Danio rerio: one gene and its partner. Each later gene encodes a partner of the first gene's protein in a complex. Links are inferred from orthologs where the notes say so. Each region holds a gene or a part of one and is shown on either strand. Other genes may lie near its edges.

Region 1 (3,500 bases):
AGAATATTGTAATATATTTAAAATCGCATCATGACACAAGTGATAATATCAACCCTGCTGACCTGTGAGTGTTTTCTGTGTTTTCTGGCAGGCGATGGTGGCGTGTTATCCGGGTAAAGGCACGGGTTATGTGCGCCATGTGGACAACCCGAATGGCGATGGGAGATGCGTCACGTGCATTTATTATCTTAATAAGAATTGGGATGCCAAGGTATGCAAGAAATCACAGATGTTATTTAATCCTCAAAGCTTCGACCTGAAAAATTTTGTTATTAAAAGGGACTCTCAAAATACACATTTGTTTACGTTTTTTTTTCTTCTATTATTATCATTTAGTTTGCCTAATTATCCTAATTAGCCTAGTTAAGCCTTTAAATGTCACTGTAAGCTGAATACTAGTATCTTGAAGAATATTTAGTCAAATATTATGTGCTTCCATCATGAAAAGACAAAGGAAATTAGTTATTAAAACTAATGCTAAAAATTAATACGTTAACAGTGTTATAAATTCAGATGTCTTTATTTAATTTCATTCATTTATTTTCCTTCAGCTTAGTCCCTTATTTATCAGTGGAATGAACCACCAACTAATCCAGTGTATGTTTTACACAACATATGCCCTTCCAGCAGCAACCCTGAACTGGAAAACACCTATACACTTTCACATTCACACACACACACACACACTCGTACACTACGGACAATTTAGTTTATTTAATAAATAAACTAAGGAGGAAACCCACGCCAACACGGGGAGAACATGCAAACTCCACACAGAAATCCCAACTGGTCCAGCCAGGACTTGAACCAGCGACTTTCTTGCTGTGAGGCGACTGTGCTAACCACTGAGCCACTGCCCAATTTCATTCATTCCAATGAAGTAAAAAAAAAGGTTTCTGAAAAAGTCTAAAAACAGAGGTCAATTATTTTTACAGCAGAACTCTTCATGTTTTGATTTCATACAATAATATACTTACACAAATCAAGTTTCTTATGTTATGCTTTGATTATATATGGAATCAAATATGGAAAATATTGTATATGGCATCGACTAAAACTGGAGTTTTGTTTAGTAATGTAACACTCACCGGCCACTTTAATAGGTACACCTGTCCAGCTGCTCGTTAATACGAATTTCTAATCAGCCAATCACATGGCAGCAACTCAATGCATTTAGGCATGTAGACATGGTCAAGACAATCTGCTGCACCAACACCATGAAAGCATGAATCCATCCTGCCTTGTATCAGCGGTTCAGGCTGGTGTATTGTTGCTGACCATGTCCACCACAGTGTACCCATCTTCTGATGGCTACTTCCAGCAGAATAACGCACCATAAAGCGTGAATCATCTCAGACTGGTTTCTTGAACATGACAATAAGTTCACTGTACTCAAATGGCCTCCACAGTCACCAGAACTCAATCCAATAATAGAGCAACCTTTGGGATGTGGTGGAACAGGAGATTGGCATCATGGATGTGCAGCCGACAAATCTGCAGCAACTGCGTGATGCTATCATGTCAATATGGAGCAAAATCTCTGAGGAATATTTCCAGTACCTTGCTGAATCTATGCCACAAATGATTAAGGAAGTTTTAAAGGAATAAGGGGTCCGACTGGGTACTGGTAAGGTGTACCTAATAAAGTGGCCGGTGAGAGAATATTTGTATATATAGTATTTTAAATGTACAAAAAATAAATAAATAAATAATAATAATAAATACACACACACACACACACACACACACACACACACACACACACACACACACACACAAGAATAAACCAATATTGTGCATCAGTACAGTACCATTTATTTGCAATTCATTCATTTATTTTTTTTTCGGGCGCCACAGCGGAATGAACCGCTAACTTATCCAGCAAGTTTTTACGCAGCGGATGACCTTCCAGCCGCAACCCATCACTGGGAAACATAAATACACACTCATTCACTCTCATACACTATGGACAATTTAGCCTACCCAATTCACCTGTACCACATCTTTGGACTTGTGGAGGAAACCCACGCGAACGCAGGGAGAACTTGCAAACTCCACACAGAAATGCAAACTGACCCAGCCGAGGCTCGAACCAGCGGCCTTCTTGCTGTGAGGCGACAGCACTACATGCTGCTCCACCGCATCGCCTATTTACAATTAATTTTGAAAACCAAACAAACATCTTGATTGTTTTATAAAATACCAGTTTGATCACACTCTAGATTTTAAATGTTGAAAAAAAAAAAGTTGAAAAAGTCTCAATGTTTGCTCAATGTTCTGAAGTTCTGACTGAAAGATGTTGTTGGCATTTTTAAAGCATGCTGTTTTCTGAGACGGTCATGAATGGCTTCTGCATACGTGCCGGTCGTGCTTCATTTCAGTCTAATCCCATTAACCTCTGAGATTGTAATCTCCAGAGAAAACCAGCAGGAGAGTTACTGAAACAGCTTAGAGAGTCATAAAAATGGAGCACGAGACTCAGTCAGAGGCAGAGACCATCAGTCATGTGATTAATGCACTAATACTGTAAAACCATTCACAGATTCTTCATGTGTTTCTTTACTCTCTGATTGCATTATAGTTTTATTTCATGCCTAGTATCTACACTGTAAAAAATGCTGGGTTCGACACAATTCCTTCATGTTGTCCCAACACAAATTTATTAAGTTAAATTAGTAATTTTTTTACAAATTAAGTGGATTCAGAAACAAAGTTAGATTAGTATTGTTCGTAACTCATTTTAAATAAGTAGTTTGAACAAGCAGCAAAAGTAATTTGTGAATGTGTAAATAATGCTGGGTTGTAGTCGAATATGGACAAACCCAACATTGGGTTGATTTTTTATTATTGGGTAAATCTAACTTTAACACTTTATAGTTTTTTTTCTAAAAATCTACTCTCAAAAAATATTTATTTGCTTTTACAAACAACTTTTAAAATGTTTTTACAATTTAAAACGAGCTGTAACAACACAATTCTTGAGATTTCATTGGGACAACTTGAATGTTTTATGTTCAATCCGCATAAAGTGTTATGCTGTGTTCACACCAGACGCGGTAGGAGCGTCAAGCGTGAGTGATTTAACTGTTAAACGTGCAATTAGACATCCTGTGGCGCGGTACGCGCAAATGACGCAAATTGCGCGGCACGAATGTCGCGATATGCGCGAATGACGCAGCGCGAATTGAACGTTTTGCGCAAATCGCTCGAGTTCAAAAATCTGAACTTCAGCAGACATTCGTGCCGCTTTAACCAATCATGAGCTTGCTCTTGTGGGGGCGTGATTGTGACATATTGACTGTTGTTGGTGTCCCGAGGTAAATCCTTCAGCCGACACCGACAACAGTGCATCAAACTGGGCTCGGCTCAGTCAGGAGCACCGCTGAAAGCCTCATCCAGCCGTCATCCAAGTTCAGTTTCTGGAGGAGTTTATGAGCTCAGCTGGATGCACCTCTGAAAGAATCTATTGGACTCAGACACAGCCCTAAACATATCGACAC
Region 2 (4,300 bases), on another chromosome or scaffold:
ATTATAATGGGTATTTTCTGTGTATTAAAGGTATACCAACAGTAAAAAAGTGGAAATGGTCTGTTTTAATACTATACCTACAGTAAAAAAGAGGCCTTTTGTGTTTAAATAGTATATACAGTAAAAAAAAAAAAAACTGATTCTGTGTTTTAATGTAAACCTACAATAAAAATAGCCTATTTTACTATTTTACTCATTTAATACTATTCAAGCAGTATAAAAATGCCAAATGGTAAGGATACACATTTCATATATGGGAAAGTACACATTATTTATTCATTCATTTTCTTGTCGGCTTAGTCCCTTTATTAATCCAGGGTCGCCACAGCAGAATGAACCACCAACTTATCCAGCCGCAACCCATATCTGGGAAACATCCACACACCCACACACACTCATACACTACGGACAATTACCTGTACGTATGGGCTGTGGGGGAAACCGGAGCACCCGAAGAAAACCCACGCGAACGCAAACATGCAAACACAGAAACACCAACTGAGCAACCTTCTTGCTGTGAGGCGACAGCACTACCTACTGCGCCACTACGTCGCCATAACGTTATTTATGGTTTACCTAAACAAAACCTTTTTTCTATGTTGTATGTGTAGAGAAGCAGTAGTTTGTGCGTTAGTAAAAACAACAACAACTTCGCAATTAAAACAGATTCTTTAATTAATAAAAAATATTTTGCAATTCCCAGTTAAACCCTTACTAATATAAAATAAATTGTCAATCACATTGTAAAAAGTCTGGCAAATAATCTCATGGCAAATTGGCTTTAAAATTTAGCTTTAAGATAATTAAGGACAAGTGGGCAAATTACAAATACTCTTCATTTTAAAAAAGCATTTTAACTGCAAGATGGCAGGAAATGAGCGATAAAACTGCTTCTTCATCTAAATCAAAACATTGAAATGACATTCACTTACAACTGGGGTGATTCCCAGGAGAAAATGTTATAAAACGTTCTTCACGCTATGAAAAAAATATATTTGAAGTTTTTTTTCAATAAATGGTTTTGGTGATCAAAAGATTTCTACTGTGGCAATGGCATTACTTTGAAACCCCAATTTTTCCTGGCACTATTACTTTGAACAGTAAAGACTTAAGAGTCGATTTAGTCTAAATTAAATCTCTTCCAATTAAGTCCTGCTCCTGAAAAGGACAAAGTAGGCCTACTTTTATTCTGCAATATTATTTTTGTTTGATTAACCAGGTTTATAGATTGGCTACTTTTTTCACATTTTGCTCCTCCAGAGCACTCTGCGTGCTTTTTTGTTTTTTGAGATCCCTGAAGCATTTTCCCCTTCCAAACTCGCATAGACCTCGTGAGCGCGAATTTGTGACAGAAAAGTCTCGGGAATCTCGGGATCGCGCGCCGGCGGGAGGCAGCCGCTAGAAGCACCAATCAGTGCGCACAGTGCACAGTTCTGAAGGCACGCGCAGCGCAAGAGTGGCGCTCACGAGCTCGTCAGCCGCGTCCGGTCCGTCCGTGTCACTCTGGAGAGCTAGTGCGATCCTCGGCAGTGTTCTGAGACTGCACTGACTGCTCCGGTCACTGCTGGAAATGCCATGAGAATGGACATAACCGTGAAGAAATAACTAAATAAAGGCATCTGTGATACAAAAAGAGTTTAAACGATTTAGTTATCTTTCGGGAAAGTTTTGTGAAGTCATTTATACGCAGGACAAGGTTCTTCAGCATCATGACAGCCGAGAGAGAGAAAAAGAGGTAAGACGAGGAAACTTCATTACTGCGTGAAACATAACTTATGTATTTACAGCCTTGAGTTGTTTATCTTAATTTAAGACTCACAGGTGAGATTTGGCGTATTGCGCAATGGCACGGGCATTAGAGCGGAATAAACTGCTTTTTTCAACCCGAGGCGCAAACACTTGTACACGTTTAGCTTTTTTATAACTAACTTTTTGCTTTATAATTTCCAAAGCAAGTTTAGTTTCTAAAGACTTTGATATCGGAGAGTTGCACTCGGATCCTATTTATGGCTCCTTAGTAAATAGGCTCATGTAAAGGTCTTGAAAGTTATAAAAATGTCATCACCAGAGTTGTATGCTACTAAGAAATAATTTTCTGTATCTCTTTATGCATATAGTAAGTATAAAATATAATTGATTCGCTTTTTTGTGCTAATCTTGGATATGCTTATTCAATGTCAATGATATAGTGCAAAACAAAGATCAACAAATTGTCAAAAGAAAGTGAACAATACAAAAAGAATGCGTTTGATAATACACCAGCTGAATTTTATACATGGTTTAAGTATTATTTTTTTATCCATTCAGCATCATTACATATGTTATTTAATCTTGCTCATTTTGTTCATTTGTAATTGTAATCGTTCATTAGGGAACATTAAATCTCAGTTTTATTTGTAATAAAATTAGATCACAGCATTAAGGATATGTTATTTTTTTATTATTAGTGGAAGTAGTTTATAATGACAATTAAGTCACTGAAGGAATTGGTAGTCAACTTAACTATTACATCAATATCTAAGGAAAAACACTTATCCCTATGTTCCAAACACAATAAGATATGGCATATACAAATAAAATATTAAATTAAGTTTTACATTTATTTTTAGTTATTGCATTTAGTCTCTTTCATGCAAATCAGTGCATCTCAAACATGTAAACAACATTTATGTTTGCATGGCATGCTTCCATAGTACTCTTTAGTAGTATTTCTATTCTGCAAAATTGAACCCTTTCAAGTGCAGTCCCTCCACCAGCCACTAAAATGTCTTTATCCCCTAGGTCACAAACTCATTTAAGGATAATGCACATAAATCATAAATACTGGTTTGCTGTTTGGTGTAAATTGTGACTGGCGATCTGTATAGATGATAGTTTAGTCAGCCACACTGAAAAAGAAAAAAAGATGTCTGCAGAATTTAAACAAACTAATTCAATTTTGTAATTTTGAACTTAATGTGTTTAAATAAGTTTAAATAAATTGTTTACAACCGCTTAAAAATGTAGTAAATCCATGGAATCATCTTTGAATTTTTTTTTTAGTACAGATACTGGTCATTTAGGTGGTAAACATAGCCAGCTGCTCTTTAGTGCCTAAAGCATACTAAAAAAAGGGGTTAAATCTTCCCCTGTGTGCTGCTTGTTAACAGGAACGTAATGTTCCAATTGAAACTGGGGTTATCAGATCAGGGTTCACCTCTTTTTTTTAAATGCTCCATAATGTGTCCCTGCTCTGGTTACTTCCATCACCTTATACGATTCTTATCTGTTATCTGGTTTGTTTAACTTGCTCTTCAGGTGTTTCATTAGCAGTGTGATTGTCTTTTGTAAATGAATCCCAGTGGAGTAATGCAATCATTGTTAATGACATCTATCAATGCTTATTTCAATATGCAATATATGTGCAATGCAACAATACACTGACACCCTAAGATCAGTCATTTATTTCAACACTGAACGGCTCACTGGATTAATAGTTGGGAAACTAAAGGTCGGCCGTTTCTCCGAGGTTAGGGAAAATAGGATTATCTGTAGTGAATGGGTGCTGTGTACAGTCTGGCTTTTGGCTTTCTGTGAACTCTGGCCTAATCTGGTTGAGGGGGAGATGCAGAGAGAGATAGAGGGAGGAATGGGTTCACATCGGCCTGCTAATCACATGATCTGCTCCCCTTTGACAGCTTTTGGTTCAGTTGTGCGTGATGACGCCTGAGGCAGTAGGTGATAGGTGCAGCAGTTGCGCTATTGTGCTTTTCAAAGGTGCGCTTTAGGAATCGTGACAGCTCTGTTTTAGGCAAATCTGCCTTGAGATCTCACGCTGAAATACAGACCGGCCTCATGTTGAGTGCCTGACTGATGCTTTTACTGTAAAGAAGAGTGCTTGTTGAGAACATGTGGGAGAGGCTAAATAGCTGTCGGTCCTGTTATTTTGCCCATGGAAGATGAAAAGACTGGTTAAAAAAAAGTGAAAATAGCCAGCAGGCATCTGTCTTCGGGCTATACCTTGACCTGTTGCACATCTTATATTCAGAAGTTTAGCCTGGTAATGTGCAGAGCGTTTGGGGTTGAGGTCAGCAGCTGGACTGTGTGGGAACTGAACTCAGTAGCCTAGTAAAGGGCTGATGCAGATTCCCATCATTCGAGGCACTGAATCTAGTGTGTTTGTAAAAATTAAAAAATTAATTAAAAGTGTAGTGCTCTGTGCATTATGCAACCTTGATCTCTGATCCAACAACTTTTGTACTTTAAATGTTTAACAGTGACTTTTGCTGGTTTGAAATGTCAGATTTTGTAGACATTTTTA

What was found. Proteins that work in one complex are often made in the same cells at the same time.
Region 2: the proteins of egln1a (region 1) and epas1a are in contact, whole or in part, in a crystal structure (PDB 7Q5X), measured with the Homo sapiens proteins. The link is inferred for Danio rerio from reciprocal best matches to the Homo sapiens genes EGLN1 and EPAS1. Residues at the interface, in NP_071334.1 of Homo sapiens: Gln239, Leu240, Val241, Ser242, Lys244, Ile251, Arg252, Trp258, Asp277, Ile280, Arg281, Ile292, Asn293, Gly294, Arg295, Thr296, Lys297, Tyr310, Val311, Arg312, His313, Val314, Asp315, Pro317, Asn318, Asp320, Arg322, Arg370, Trp389, Tyr390; in NP_001421.2 of Homo sapiens: Asp525, Leu526, Glu527, Thr528, Leu529, Ala530, Pro531, Tyr532, Ile533, Pro534, Met535, Asp536, Gly537, Glu538, Asp539, Phe540, Gln541, Leu542.

The regions. Positions count from the first base shown.
Region 1 is NC_133188.1:53,018,862-53,022,361, forward strand, and holds part of egln1a (egl nine homolog 1), read left to right. Parts: intron 1-91; coding exon 92-211; intron 212-3,500. UniProt on the Homo sapiens protein: Cellular oxygen sensor that catalyzes, under normoxic conditions, the post-translational formation of 4-hydroxyproline in hypoxia-inducible factor (HIF) alpha proteins.
Region 2 is NC_133187.1:27,562,823-27,567,122, forward strand, and holds the start of epas1a (endothelial PAS domain-containing protein 1), read left to right. Parts: upstream 1-1,500; 5' UTR 1,501-1,709; coding exon 1,710-1,735; intron 1,736-4,300.